2 linked regions of the Neurospora crassa OR74A genome follow. The protein of the gene in region 2 interacts with the protein of the main gene of each other region in a biochemical or structural test. Links are inferred from orthologs where the notes say so. Each region holds a gene or a part of one and is shown on either strand. Other genes may lie near its edges.

What was found.
Region 1: the proteins of NCU04652 (region 2) and NCU06569 form a complex in vitro, tested with the Saccharomyces cerevisiae proteins (2 studies listed by BioGRID). The link is inferred for Neurospora crassa OR74A from reciprocal best matches to the Saccharomyces cerevisiae genes APL5 and APL6.

The regions. Positions count from the first base shown.
Region 1 is NC_026504.1:1,658,351-1,665,659, reverse strand, and holds NCU06569 (AP-3 adaptor complex subunit beta), read right to left. Parts: upstream 4,395-7,309; 5' UTR 4,248-4,394; coding exon 4,208-4,247; intron 4,130-4,207; coding exon 3,987-4,129; intron 3,912-3,986; coding exon 1,677-3,911; 3' UTR 1,283-1,676; downstream 1-1,282. Other genes in the region: NCU06570 (hypothetical protein), read left to right, coding at 339-671; NCU16765 (hypothetical protein), read left to right, coding at 5,366-6,358; NCU06568 (kinetochore protein nuf2), read right to left, coding at 6,716-6,829, 6,897-7,309. UniProt on the Saccharomyces cerevisiae protein: Part of the AP-3 complex, an adaptor-related complex which is not clathrin-associated. The complex is associated with the Golgi region as well as more peripheral structures.
Region 2 is NC_026505.1:1,327,572-1,334,980, reverse strand, and holds NCU04652 (AP-3 complex subunit delta), read left to right. Parts: upstream 1-3,440; 5' UTR 3,441-3,879; coding exon 3,880-3,881; intron 3,882-3,936; coding exon 3,937-4,055; intron 4,056-4,114; coding exon 4,115-4,695; intron 4,696-4,748; coding exon 4,749-4,974; intron 4,975-5,032; coding exon 5,033-7,287; 3' UTR 7,288-7,395; downstream 7,396-7,409. Other genes in the region: NCU04651 (tetratricopeptide repeat domain-containing protein), read right to left, coding at 1,725-1,955, 2,014-2,172, 2,230-2,436, 2,509-2,844. UniProt on the Saccharomyces cerevisiae protein: Part of the AP-3 complex, an adaptor-related complex which is not clathrin-associated. The complex is associated with the Golgi region as well as more peripheral structures.

The sequences.
Region 1 (7,309 bases), on a different chromosome or scaffold from region 2:
CTATGGCCCAGGAAATTCCAATTCCAGAGACCGAAGTACTTAATCCGCCAGTCCCCTGTTCTTTCCTACCATCATTTTTCTTCTACCTCAGAAAACATCAGGCAACAACCATACTACCCTTAAGCCAGCAGATCGTCCAAGCCAATTCAAGCCCAAGTACCCCACCCTCCCATTTCCGTCTCCTCCGTCTCATAGCCAGTCAATTTTTGACTCTAGCTAACTTTCTCTATCAAGGCTTCCTCTCCATTACACCCAAGGGAAGAAAACCCAAGAACATTGCCGACACCAGAAACCTCCAGTCCACCACCAAGCCTCTCTCCATCCACGCCCAAGTAACAATGGATTCCGATTCATTCTTCCTGCACTTGTTCTCCGTGGCCATAGTCCCGGCGGCTGTGGTGGTGGTGATGATAACAAGTTGCTTCATCACGTTCATCGTCTTAGGAGGCATATGCATGATTGGTTATAGGATCATCATCATCTTTTCCCACGTGCGAGAATTTGTGCGTCGGCGCGGGATGGTGGCCGCTGGCGGCAACAACGACGACGACTACGAACTCATTGACACCCGACTGGCGTTCGGCGATCAACAACTCGATCGAAAATACTTAGGAGCAGCACCAACAGTACTTGCACCAGCAGCACCAACCGCACCAGCAGGAGGAGAATGATGAGGATATGGCAGAACGGAGGCGCAGAAGTAACGCACCGACTTCGACTTCGTCACGGGCGTCCATTGATACTCTTTCTCTCTCCTGATTCTTTCCTCCTCCGGTTATTCTCCTCCCTATTGGTCTCATCATTCTTGTCCGCTTTCTTATTCATGCCCTGGGTGTGGGAGGGGTGAGACGGACGGGTGGTACATACCGAAGGCGAAGAGGACTGGGGATTTTGCAAACCTCCCACAATTTAGCAGACCGACTTGCTGGTGGTGGTGGTGGTGAGTCTGCTGGGTTACCTACTTGACCGAGATTTGGGAAATGGAAAGCAACGATGAGGCTAGGATGACAATTGCGGCGGAGGGAAAGGAAGACGGATCACCGGCATTCAGAAAGGAGGCAAGGCAATACATTGGAGGGACTGTGCGGTTGGTTGTATCATGATTCTCAGGATGAATGCTTCTTTATGCAGGAAGGGGTGGAAACTGAAGTGGAACCATCATCGTTTTTCCTTTCAGGACATGAAAACCGGGACGTGTCCGGACGGGGGCCCGTTAGTCAAGTTCCAAATTTGGGATCGAGGAAACGAGACGGCGAGAAATGAGCTATATCAAGCAATACATGACGACTTCTTTTCTAAATTGTGAATAAAGTGGATCGCTAAAGACGCTCTTGGTGCTCGTCGTACTTGATATGTTTCTTGTTGTTTCCATTTCCCTGAGTCTGGTCGGTATCGAGTGGAACTAAATGGTATTATTTGCAACATAAGTTGGCACAACAATCAGATTGGATGCCATCTTGTATAGGGGAGGAATACAACTTAATATCCTTCTCTTTCTTCTTCTTCTGGACAGAAAAGAGGATGTGTCGGAAAACTCGGGAAGGAAATTCATGGACTCGTGACTATGAGGAGGACCAGGATGAACAGAAGCAGCATAGCTTGCATATCGTAAATTATGAGGTATTCTTCCATGTCAGTTGACCATTCAATTCATACTGGTATCAAGTAGTTGGATGTCATGCCCCCATCAGCCTCGCGTCTTCGGCCTCGTCATCATCAGACTCCTCCTCTTCCGATGAACTCTCTTCCTCTTCTTCTTCATCGTCTTCCTCCTCTTCTTCTTCTTCTTCTTCATCATCATCTTCTTCTTCCTCAGTGGTTTCCCCTTCCTCATCCTCCTCTTCACTCTCCTCCACAACCTGCCGTTGCACAGGTGCTGACACTGGCACCGCCTTCTTACTGATATCCTCCTCCTCCGCAAGCCAATCATCAAGTGTCTTGGTCCCTACTCCCTCACCCAGACCATTAGACTTCGTAGGCACTGATCTAGACGACCCACCGTCCAAAATCTCCAAAGCTGGTACGACTCTCTTCTCGCCGTACGTCGCGGTTGGTGGCACACCTGTCTCTCTCAGTCTCGGATCCGGCTGCTTGCCCTCTTCGACCCAATCGGGCAAGTCCTCGTAGCCCCTGACGCCGTGAACACCGGCGGCATCGGCGAGGACCAGGGCTGAAGAGCCAAGGGTATACCCACGCCTCATCTCCGAGGGACTTTGCGCTTGGGGCGCAGGCTTAGGCGCGAGCAGCATGAGGGTTGCGAGCTGGGGTACGCCGAGCAATGCTTTGTAGAGACGAGTGCGATCACGGAGATCGTAAGAGGTATCGTAGCGAGCCAGGAGGAGCACATAACTCCATAGCTTTGCAATTGGATGGTCATCGTCTTCGAGAAGCTTGGGTGGAGGACCCGGTTCGCCATCGGCATTTTGTGATGCTTCAATCTGTCGGTTGAGGTAGTGTAGGTAGACCTTGGCGCCGAGAAGGATGATTTGTCGTTTGGCGATTTCGGACTCGGAGGGAAAGTCCTTGAGCAGAATCCGAAGCACGTCAGGGGCGATGTTCTCTTCTCCGTTGAGACCGGAGAACTCGCCTACGAGCCAGATAATGGTGGCACGAGCGTGTGGGTCGGTGGCCGAGTCCAAGTTCTTTGCCAGCCTTATGACCGTAGCGACGTGTGCAGTTGGGTCCTGCTGGATTAGATGTCGTATCACTGTCAAGCTCTCTGCGGCCAGCGTGCCGTCCAAGCTAGTGATTTGACTGAGAAGCAACCGCAGACACCTAGGTGCAGCTGTTGTGTCTGTTACCGCGCAGCGGCCAATAGCCCTAACTGCCTCCCTAACCAGCGCCTTATCGGTTCCTCGGCTGAAGTGCTCAAGCTCGTTGAGAATAAGGCTCTTGACATGGAGAGGAGCATGTGGGAAGATGAGTGTCAAAAGCTCCAGCTTGAGTTCCCATATGGGTTGTGTATCCGTTGCACGCACTAGGAAATGCGAGGCATAGCGCACGAAATCGGCAGGCCGGGTAAGGCAAATGGATACGATGTTGTAGAGTGCAACCTGTTGGATATCCTGAGCGCCTCGTAGCAAAGCTATCAATGGCCCGATGGCTGTCTTGACATACTCGGGCGTGCCTACTGCATCGTAACAGCGTGCTACTGAAACCACAACGCCTGAGTTTCGTGATTGGAGGAGGGGTTTGATGCTGTTGAGGAGCAGCTCGAGATCAGGGTCGAGAACAATAACCTCCTGGCCCTCGGCGTCATTATTCGAGCTGGCGGCGGCGTTATCACCGTAAAAGTCCTGAAGATCGGCCGCCTTGTCCTGGGCTTTCACCATCCGGGTTCGTCGAGGGAAGCATTTTCGCGCATAAACTGTCATAAGCCGCAGTGTCGAGAGCTGGCTCCATTCATCCATATCCACCACCATCTTGACTAACTGCCTGTAATGCTTGTGTATCAAGTCCAATCTGTCCGGACAGATCTCCAGAAAGGCTGTAACGGCGGCACCTGCCACATAATACTGCTTGTCGCCTAAGAGAGTCGAGAGATATTCGAGCAGTGAGGGCATTTGGGATGGGTCGAGTCGGTAACACTTGGGGATGGCCAAGGCAGCGGCTCGGCGCACATAGGGGTTGATGTCTCCGGCGCCCTTCTTGATGGCCAACGACACAATCTGGCTGATAACGGGAACCCGTATGTTGGACATTGTGCGTAGAGCCAAGGCGCGCACTTGAGGGTTGGAATCGGAAAGCGACTTCTGGATGGTGTTGATGGATAGCAAGGCAAGGTCGGGGTCCTCCTCGGCATGGTGGATCAAATAGATGTAGACCAGCTTCTTGATCTCGATATTCGGAGAGGCGACGTTCTTGACGACGGAGGAGAACAGAGGGTGTGTCCTTTGCGAGCGGTACATCATCTAGAAGACATGCGCCCGAGCTGTTAGCACTTGCTCCCATGGCCACCAAACCATATGTATGGGGTAAAAACATACCGAGATGACCCGACGCAGACCGTCCAGCACTTCTCGTTCATTGCGACTGTCGAGGAGTTTCTTAACCTGAACGCGATCGAGAGGCTTGGACGAGCTGCGGGCGCTGCGGGCGGCCGAGGCGGCATCGAGGGTGAGCTCTCGGGCTGGAGTAGAGACAGACGCCGTGGTCAGCAAGCAGGAGGACACGGTGATAACCTGAAGAGGGATGGAGTTAAGCTTACCGCTTTCTAGCAGCGACGAAATCCTGGCTATCGATTCCATGTTGGGTCAGTGACTGTTATCCAGCGCACTGAGCTCGCTGTTTCGGGGAGCACGTTTGAGTGTTGCGATGATCAGTTGGAATGGACAAAGTTAGGATCCCGGTGCCCAGCAGTGGGTGGTGAGCTGTGACGTGATGCACGGACGGCCTGGAGCTGTGGTGGATTGGGGAATAGCGGGGAATCCGTAGCAGGCCTACCTCGCAGCTATGTACCCGATACTACCTACCTTGCTGACCACCCGATCTCTCACCTACCCTCCACTTATACACAGACATCACAAGCGGGACATCCATCATCTTCCTACCTCTACGGCCTCACAACACAATGCAATCCAAAGTGAAACAATACCTGACAGACTCACATCAGGCTTCCGACACGGCGGCGATGCCACCCAACCGTCGTTAAGCCAGCTGACAACTCTCGACCGACGAGATTATCGAGGATTTCCAGATGTTGAACTCAGATGCTCGATTCAATTATATGTCCAAAACCCGTTTATGGCTTGATGATTCCGATGAACATTTTTTTCCTTACCATAGGAGATGGTAAAATCACCCCTTTCCACACTTGAAGGTACCCGATAGATCTACGCTCTCCATTTCACGGTTTTCCCCCGTTAATAAGACCGGATAACGGGAGCATTCAAGTGGTGTCTTTCATGTCGAGCTGACAGGTGGTTGAGTGCTCGAGCTGCCTTGATTGTTACCTCTAGTCGTTATGCACGATCCAAGCATATGCATATAGGCGTGTATTCTTTTCAATCGAATCTCCCCAGGTTTTAGCTTCCACTTTTGCCGTCCGCGGGAGGACCCCTATCATCCCGGGTCCGAACAAACACCTTGACCATATGGATCGGGACGGCCGCCACCGCGATACAAGCGGAACTCAGCCCTATCCGAGACCCGCGATGTGATACCTTAAAGTTTAGAAACAAACCTCACAAGTGGAACGCCTTCTGCAGCGTGCATGTGAGACGACAACCAATGCATTTTCATTCCTCGAATACCAAAATCTCAAACGGAGCTCACTCCCCCCACACGCACATATTTGCTGGTTGCGCAATCGCAAGTCGTGGCCAACGTTTTTTCCTGTCGTGAAAGCTACCAAGCGACCAATGTCATGGACTCTTCTCAGTCTCAGGCTCAACCTCAGCCTCTCTTCTGCTCCCCGGCATTTCCCTCTGAGCTGCTCTGGTACATCATCCACCACTGCAGTTATCCCACCACCTTGATCGTCTGCTCCAGCCGACTCGAATTTCTCACAGCTTTGGCTAGGGATATCAGGCAAAGCCAAGAAGATGACGACAAGTCACAGGGTCAAGAGCAAGAAGAGTGGCAAAGTTCACCTCAACCAGACCAAGACAAGATACCGACAGATTCAAAACAAGACCAAAAGGAAGCCCAAGAGTTACAACGGGAAATCCCGTGGCCCAGTAATCAACAACAACCGGCAGCAACAGCTCAGTCAACACAAGATGAACCCACCAAAACAACAAGCACCACCCCGGCGGCCAAAATCACCCCGGGCCCTTGGGCCTCCCAACTCCTCGCCTCCCCCCTCTACCAAGTCGCCGTAGCACGACACATCCGCATAGTCTTCGTTCCCACCGTGTCCCACCTGCGCGCCTTTCTCTCTGTCTTTGATACCAATCATAACAGTACCAACACCAACAAGGTTCCCACCCCTCCTCCTCCTCATCCGTCGACTTATAACCCCTTACCAAACCAGCAAGCACGTCCACAACCTCAACAGCTATTATTAGTCTACGGCTTTCTAGCCTTACATCGTGATTCGAGCGAGTGGAGCGTGCAAGGGCTGAACACCACGGCTGCTGTATTGCTGGAGACGGGGAGGAGGGTTGGGTTGGGGGTTGTGGTTGTTGAGCCAGTTTGGTATGATGAGAGTCTGAGGAGCCTGGATGATTTGCTTGGGGAGAAGATGCCAGTTGTGAGCGGGAGTGCTTTGAGAGGCGCAGGAGGGGATCTTGAGAGAAGTGTTGGTGGTGGGTTGATTGGGAGGACGGTGGATGTTAGGAGGGTATTGGGTCGATGGTTCCAGTTTGGGTTTGGGGAGTGGGAAAGGGAAAGGCAAAGAGATCGTTTGTTCAGTTGAGGATGGTTGGTCATTGCAGGAAAGAGAATATGAGGGTCGTATAGTGTTCAGTACACAGAGCACGGCAGAAAGAAATTTGTAATCGTAAGAGTTCGTGGTCTCATTCAGTGTTACAACTTTTGATGCCTCCTAAAAGGGTATGAAAGGCAAAGATTACCACACCCAACCTTTCCAGCCTGCTGGGAACTAAACCGAAACGCCACTCCATGGTATCCATACATGCTCCAGAAACCTCTTATGCCAAACAAAACCTCGATGCTTTACCCGTGAACCAATGCGGTGCAGTACACTGTACGTTAAACAAGAACAAGTGTGCGAACAAAAGGGTATAAAACATATCCACCAATAAACGCTCGCTCAGATGGCCTGCTCCATCTCGGTAATGTACAGCTTGATGTGTGCCTCCATCTTGAGGTACTCGTCGTGGGCAGCGTGGACTTCGTTTTCAATGTTCTCTTTCAAGTCGAGCATCTAGTTGAGGGCACAACTGGTTAGCATCTCTCCTCATTTCTTTTCTTTCAGTCCAGCTTAAACGTACCTTCTTCTCCGTCTGCTCGATTCTCACTCTCCTCCTCTCAATATCCTTGCCCTTCTCCGACCTCTCCTCGGTCAACTTCCTATGCACCGCCCTCAACTCCTCCATCTTCTCCATGGCCTTTTGCGCCTTCTCCTCGCTCTGCGTTCGCAGCTGCGCCGTGCGATCGACCCACTTGGCCAATTGCCTCTTGAGCAGCGCCTCGGTACGCTCCACCTCTCTAACATTGTGTCCCCGCTCCGTGAGCGCGTCTCTCTGCCTTGCGTTCTTAACGTTCTCCTCTTCTTCCTTGGCCAGCTCGATCGCGATCTCTTCCAACAGCTTGATGCATGATGCCACGTCCGATGCCACCACGCTGAACGAGTCCGTTGACGTCTGGAGAGCTCTTGATCGCCTGTCCAGCGCATCAATATGTG
Region 2 (7,409 bases):
CTGGACGATGCTGGAAGAGCCGGGAACAGGTATCAGCGGAGGGAACACACAGATAGGTGCCTCATGGTTAGGCCTGAGACGGTAGTCTTGTCGCTGCGTCTCAGCAAGGCTGGGGGAACTGCAGCACGACGGAAACCGTGTGTAAAGGCGGAGCGTGTTGTCCTGCCTGCGGTGCCTAGAGACAGGTAACCCTGTCCTCACCATCCTTACACTAAGCACTGATAGATATGGCCTTACCCGGCTTTCTAGATTGCCAGACTCTTCCGTAGTGTAAGTCGATTGTATTCTGATGGCTGAAAGGTGACGGCCTTTTTGCGGAAACTCGATGCCTTTGTGTCCTCACCGAGTGACTGTACTCACCACTCATGAGGCAGCAGGAGCACAAGCGACCAGGCAAACGACTCCATCGTGGATAGTGAATCAAAGAGGTGAGAGTTTTGGTTTCAGAGGGGCTTGGCCCGAGTTGATGCGCAGGGCAGGGATACTGAAAAGGTTTAGTCTGGTGACGGAAAGGAAACTAAAGACTGGGGAGACAGGGGGGATGGTGGGGATGGGCGACGACCCTCCCTCCGTCGTTGCTGACACACTGCATACCGCCCAAAGATGTCAACAGTACTAGATATTGTGAATCACACATATCGACTCTTCAGACTTTCAAGTGAGGCGATATCAAGAGTCTCCTTCGATAAAGTCTTGTTGAAATGAGTATGTCTTTTAAGTAGTCTTGCTTTCCTCCGTTATTTTTTAAGCTCAGATTGACTTGTGAGAGGGGAGAATGACAGAGTGGTGCTCAGGGCATTCGCATGTAGTGTAGTGTACGCTAACAAGTCAAGACTCGCGCCACGGAGACAGAGACAGACTTGAAGATTCTGGATAATATTATCGGCTGCTGTTCCGGATTGCTTATGAATAAGCATCATCCGACTCGGCGCCGGCCATGCGGCAGAAAGGTTGTGAAACCATTCATGGTGATCTTGAAATCCCATAACTTTTCTTGATTCATTATCATTATTACCAAGGACCGCTTCAAAAGACACCCCCCAGAGTAAGGCATCAACTATTGTCAAGGATACCTCGTCTTGAGTCTGTACATGGTGTTGGAAGAAAGAAAGTGGAAGATGAGCCGGTGTCATGGCCTGGGCTGTTGGCCGGTGACCATGTTGCGATATGTACCGCGCAATGCGTAGAGCCAGTCAGATGTCGTTCCGAGCTGAAACCCGGCCACCAGTTATAGACGCATTTTTCTGCCCAAGAAATTGAGAGAATTTAAAAAAAAAAAAGGGTTCATGAAGGGTTCGGGAGATTTCGCAACCTGCATCAACGCAACAGTCGCGGGCTTGAAGGCGTTCTCTTTCTGGTTGGGCTGAGAACGCCTGCGCCGCCCGTCTTACCACCGGGCAAAGGATCGCCTTTGGGCATCTACTGGCGCCACGTGAAGCCGGACTTCTTGATGCCTTTTCGCTGCCCAAAGACCCACTGCGTCGACTAATGCAGGCAGGAACCAAAGTACCTTGCAAGGATACCAATGATGCTCACTCGCTAGTCCCAGCCATCGTCAAAGAGGCCGTTCCGATTGCGACGATGGCCTTCCATTATATGCGCGGTGGATGTCCGTAACACATTGAAATTGTGCCAAACAACATACATCCAGCGGGCAATGAACATATCGAATCGGTCACTGGACTGAGCGCCGTACCGTTTGCCTCGTTCAATGGCAGCACATCTCACCTCTCAATTCCATTTTGTGAGAGCAGTTCACGGGCAGCTGCAACCTCACGTTCGTCATAGCCGCGCCAGCCTCTGTCCTTCAGAGTGCTATGACGAACGATTTCCGATAGCTTGGCGGTCGCAAGCTCATCGAGACGCTCAATTGTCTTGGGATCAGGCAGAGTGAACTCGCCATCGTCAGTCTGCTTGGCCTGTTTGGCCTGTTCCTTGAGAAGCCTCGTGGTGACCTGGCAGACGGTCAGCACATATTATTTTGTTCGCCCATGACGGCTATCGGAAACTTACTAGCTTCAGCCCATAGTAGCCACGGAGATAGTCGTCGCACAGTTCAATGCTCCGAGCAAACCGCTTGAGCGCCTCGGCCAAGTACTTTTGCTGCGATCCACCGCCACTTCCCGAAGTCGTGGCAGCCATGTACTGCACCTCTCCCAGTCGTGCATGTATCTAGATGGGCTACATTAGCATAGGGCTTGGGCTGTTGGGTGAGGGAGGAGCGCATACGTTCCAGGCATTGGGCGACAGAAGGAGGACCTCTTCCAGGGCGTAGATGGCCTGAGAGTATAGCCCTTGTGTGAAGTAGAGATCCGACAGCTCAGACCAGGCCTCGGCATCGGTTGGGGAGAAGTCGAGGAGTTGTACAAGAGCCGTTGCGGCATCCGAGACGCGACCCATGGATCGTAGGAGGGCGATCCGGCGCTTTGTGATAGGCTGTAGACGTAGACATGGCGGGTTAGCAAATCTGCCGTCCGAGAACAGTTGGCGTAAACGGTCAGGACCCACGAGATTGGTGCTGTTTCCTTCCAGAATGGCATCGTACTGCTTGAGCACCGCTTCCAGCTCTCCGTTGTTCTCGGCCTGGGCCTCGGACAACAAGCCCCTCAAAGCCATGACTCTCTCATTGTCGGGGCCAAACCGTGCCTCCAGCTGATCCATACATTTTGCGGCCGCTTCATCATCGCCGGTTCGGAGGCACGCTAGCAGCAGATTCTCGTATGTTGCCCATTGGTCCACCGTCTCTGATGACGATCCTTGCAAGACAACGGGAGCTTGCTGTGCGAGTTGGAGAGCTTCCGAAGGAGGGAGCTTGGCCGGGTTGAAGAGCAGGGAGGGCGCCATTGTGTATATTCGATTTAGTTGGATAATCGTATAGTGGTCGGGGTTCGCACCGGACCAAGAATCACGTCGCTCGTCAAGGTTGAAAGGAACCACCAGTATGTCGTGACTTTGTAAACCGCTGATTGACAATTGGCGCAAGTATGATGGAGGCAATCGAAGTCTCGGCTTTAGCTTGTGGTCTGGAAGCTGTCGTCAAATGATGGAAGAGGAGAAGTTGATGGCCGGGGAAACTGAAGCTTCCACTTCTCTGGCGTCAATCTGTACAATGCTGGACGCTGGTAGACGTCGCGCGGCGAGCACTGCAAGCTGGAGCTGAATGCCCGCCCAGGCACTCCATGGATGGGTAGAGGTAGGTGGGGCAAGCATGTGGAGCTTCTCGTTTGGAGCTCTCACTGTGTCATAGCTGCTCTTTCAGCGGTAAAACAGCTGGACAGACAGTGCAATCTGGGGTTTTAGGGGACAGTCGCAAACTGTACCACTGCATCCTCACCTCAAAGCACAGGCAGGCAGAGAGAGGTCAGTCAGTTCAGAGGGCAGCCAGTGACGTGAGATAGCACGACCAGGACGGGGAGGGTGCCACATTTGTGAACCCACCACGGACATCGGATCTCCAGCAGCAGCGTCGTTGACGGCCATTGCCTTTCCAAACCAAGATCCGTCAAGCGTGTTTCGACGACGACGCCGACGACGACGACGACGACAAGTAAACCCAACGGCGTGACGACGAGAAGCGCATTTACTTACAACCCTCGACCCGGGTGGCGCCCACAGCATCTCCCAGCTCCCCCAACTACGGCCGCGGCAAGATGCGTCGAGTTGCGGTTCAGTCCAGACACAGCAACACCTCGTCCCCGTCGCCTCGCTATACCTCCAGCTTATACTAGACTTGTAAACACTTTCGATTCCTGTCACCCAAGTGGAAGTTCTACGCGAACCGATTGCTACCCTTGCGCCGCCAGCGTCAGGCCTCCCCAACTTCGATATAGTCCTCACAACACTGGGAACATCGGCAGTTGGGCCACCACAACCGCAACCATGTGCGTCAAGCTCCGGCTTCCGTCTGCACGAGTCGACTTAGCTGATGCCCCCTAGGTTCGAAAAGTCGCTGTACGACCTCATCCGAGGTCTGCGTAACCACAAGGGAAACGAAAAGGAGTACATCCAGAACTGTCTGAAAGAATGTCGTTCCGAGATCAAAAGCCAAGACATGGGTTCGTCCCTCTTGTGTTGTTGCGCCCGTTCAGTTGCTTTCGCTAACACATGCGCAAAGATGTCAAGGCCACGGCCCTCCTCAAGATCATCTACCTCGAGATGAACGGCCATGACATGTCGTGGGCTTCCTTCCATGTCCTCGAGGTCATGTCCTCGCCAAAATACCACCAGAAGCGCGTTGGATATCTCGGCGCCGTCCAGAGCTTCAAGACCGATACCGAAGTGCTCATGCTAGCCACCAACCTCCTCAAGAAGGACCTCTCGGCCTCCTCCCCGATCGTCATCTCACTCCCCATTGCTGCGCTGCCGCATATCATCACGCCCTCCCTTGCCCTTTCTGTACTAGCAGACCTACTGCCGCGTCTCAGTCACTCGCATTCGGCTATCAGGAAGAAGACCATTGTTACACTATACAGACTAGCCCTGGTATACCCAGAGACCCTCCGAGCAGCATGGCCAAAAATTAAGGAGCGACTTATGGACAAGCACGAGGATCCGAGCGTGACAGCAGCCATTGTGAACGTGGTGTGTGAACTCGGCTGGCGGAGACCCCAGGATTTCTTGCCCCTGGCTCCGCGCCTGTTCGAGCTCTTGGTAGATGGGGGTAACAACTGGATGGCGATAAAGTTGATCAAACTGGTAGGAGGAAACCTGGAGTTCCCACTTGACGGCGTCTTTGCTAACTTGCGCAGTTTGCAACCCTCACCCCTCTAGAGCCGCGTCTCGTTCGCAAGCTTCTGCCGCCCCTGACCGATCTGATCCGAACAACGCCAGCAATGTCCCTGTTATACGAATGTATCAACGGCATCATACAAGGAGGAATCCTTGGAGACTCTGAAGATGATGGCAGGGAAGAGATTGCTAGTCTGTGTGTTTCAAAGCTTCGAGGCATGATTACTTTCAACGGTGATGCCAACTGTGAGTACCTTTACCGCTTGCCTTTGTCTGTACAATTCTCACCATGTTATTCGCTCAGTGAAATATGTGGCTCTGTTAGCCTTCAACAGAATCGTGGTCACGCACCCGTTCCTTGTTGCCCAACAAGAGGACGTGATCATGGAGTGCATCGACAGCGAAGACATAACCATCAGGATCAAGGCTCTAGACCTGGTACAAGGGATGGTCAGCAGCGATAACCTGGTATCCATTGTCAGCCGGCTTATGAGGCAGCTGAAAACGTCCACAAACCCGAACAATGATCAGTTGGATGATCTGTCAACCGACTCGAGTGAAGAGATGGGCGCTGAACGACGGTCCCGGAAACGAGATGAGGCGCCTCCTCTCCCCGAAGACTATACGATTGACGTTATTGGCAGGATCCTCAAGATGTGCTCGCAAAACAACTACTCCAGTGTGGTCGACTTTGACTGGTACATCGACGTACTTACACAACTTATCCGGATTGCTCCGGCGTCTCGTAAGGAGCTTGACTCGGACGGCATGGCACTGGGGCCGAAATCTACCACGGCCGATATTTCGGAGAGTATTGGTAATGAGCTCAGAAACGTGGCCGTTAAGGTGAAAGCAGTGAGAGCTGCCGCTGTCCGGGCTGCCGAGCTTATTATTGCAAAGCTATCGATGGAGACCACGTCACACCAAGTGATATCAGGTTCACTGAAGCCTGTTGCCTGGATCGCCGGAGAATACGCAAATCTGCTCTCAAATCCAAGCGACACACTCAATCACCTGTTACAGTTAATACCGCGTATCAGACCCTCCGAGGTTCTCGCAACCTGCCTGCAGGCCTCCATGAAGCTGTTCGCGCTGATTGCTGGTAACGACCAAACATACTGGACAGCAGAACGAAAGTCCATGGTATCTCTGCTCATGGCGCGAGTCATCCATACATACGAGCCCCTAGTGCTTCATCCATCTCTTGAAGTCCAGGAACGCGCGGTTGAGTTTACTGAGCTCTTGAAGCTCACCGCCGAGGCAGCATCGGCACAGGCGTCATCAACGGACGAACTCGAACAAGACCCGCCCCTCCTTCTCACACAGGCGATACCCTCTCTCTTCCAGGGTTGGGAGCTGAACTCCGTCGCAGTTGGCGCTCAGCTGAATGTTCCGATGCCAGAGGGCCTAGACCTGGACGAGCCTATTCATCCCAACCTCAGCAGCCTGCTGGCGCAAGCGGACTCATTGATGCTTCCCATCCAGGAAGACGACGAATTCTCAGCTTACTACAACGAAAAGGCAGCACCAACCAGCATCTCCAGCGAGCCAGCAATAAACAGACTACGGGACGCTCCCGAGACGACATCGGGCTCCTACCAGCAAGCGACAGAGGATAGCTACCTTGACGCAGACATCATCGCCCGTCGCAAGGCCGAACGAGCAGAGCGCAACCGTGACGACCCTTTCTACATCGGCGACCTAGGCAGTCCCTCTCGCTCACAAGGCACTTCCACCCCAATACACAACATTCTGCAGAACGAAAACGGCCCCGACCTCGACATCGACTCCATTCCCATTATGAAGCTCGACCTTGGCGCCATCAGCTCCTCCGGCGTCGGCGGCGCCCCCGGAACACCCCAGCGATCCAAGGCACCCAAATCACGCCCACAAATCGTCGTCGCCGCAGACGAAACACTCGTCGGCAGCCGTCCGTCCACCCCGCGGACGGGAAGCCAGCATGACTCGGACGCGGATCCGTCTAGCGCGAGCGCCAAGTCCCGCGCAGCACGGAAGCTCAAGCAGTCCCTTTTGCAGGTGGATTCCAGCCACTTGCGCAACCTCAGCCTCGAAGCCAGCCATTCTGAGGATTCTGGTGGCGGTGCTCTCCCGCACGAAAAGCTCGCGGAGACAGACGCGGAAATGGCAAAGGCCATGAAGGAAGTCCAGCGGTTGAGGCTGGAGATGCAGAGGGCTAATGAGAGGATACACGTCGCTCAAGGGGTGCCGACAGAGGGGGTGGTGGTGAAGAGCAAGAAGAAGAAGGAGGGGAAGAAGGCCAAGTCCAAGTCGAAATCGGAAGAAGATGGTGCTGGGGCTGGTGAAGATGAGAAGGAGAAGAAGGTGGTGAAGAAGAAGAAAAAGAAGGCGGAGACGGAGGTGGCAGAGGGAGGAGGGGAAGGAGCACCGGTGGGTGGAGAGGGAGAGGGAGAGGCGGTGATTACTGTAAAAAAGAAGGAGAAAGAAAAGGTCAAGAAGAAGAAGCCAAAGAGGATTATACAGCTTGGTGATGAGGATGCTGGTGGGACTGGAGCTGGAGCTGAAGCTGGTGAGCCATAGGTTACAGGCAAGTCACAATGTGGAGGGGATAAATAGAATACTGAGGTCAATTAATGGTTATGAATTGTCTGTATGAACGTTCCCTTGGTGGGACTCAAAGTGAGATCGAAAATCTGGTTGTG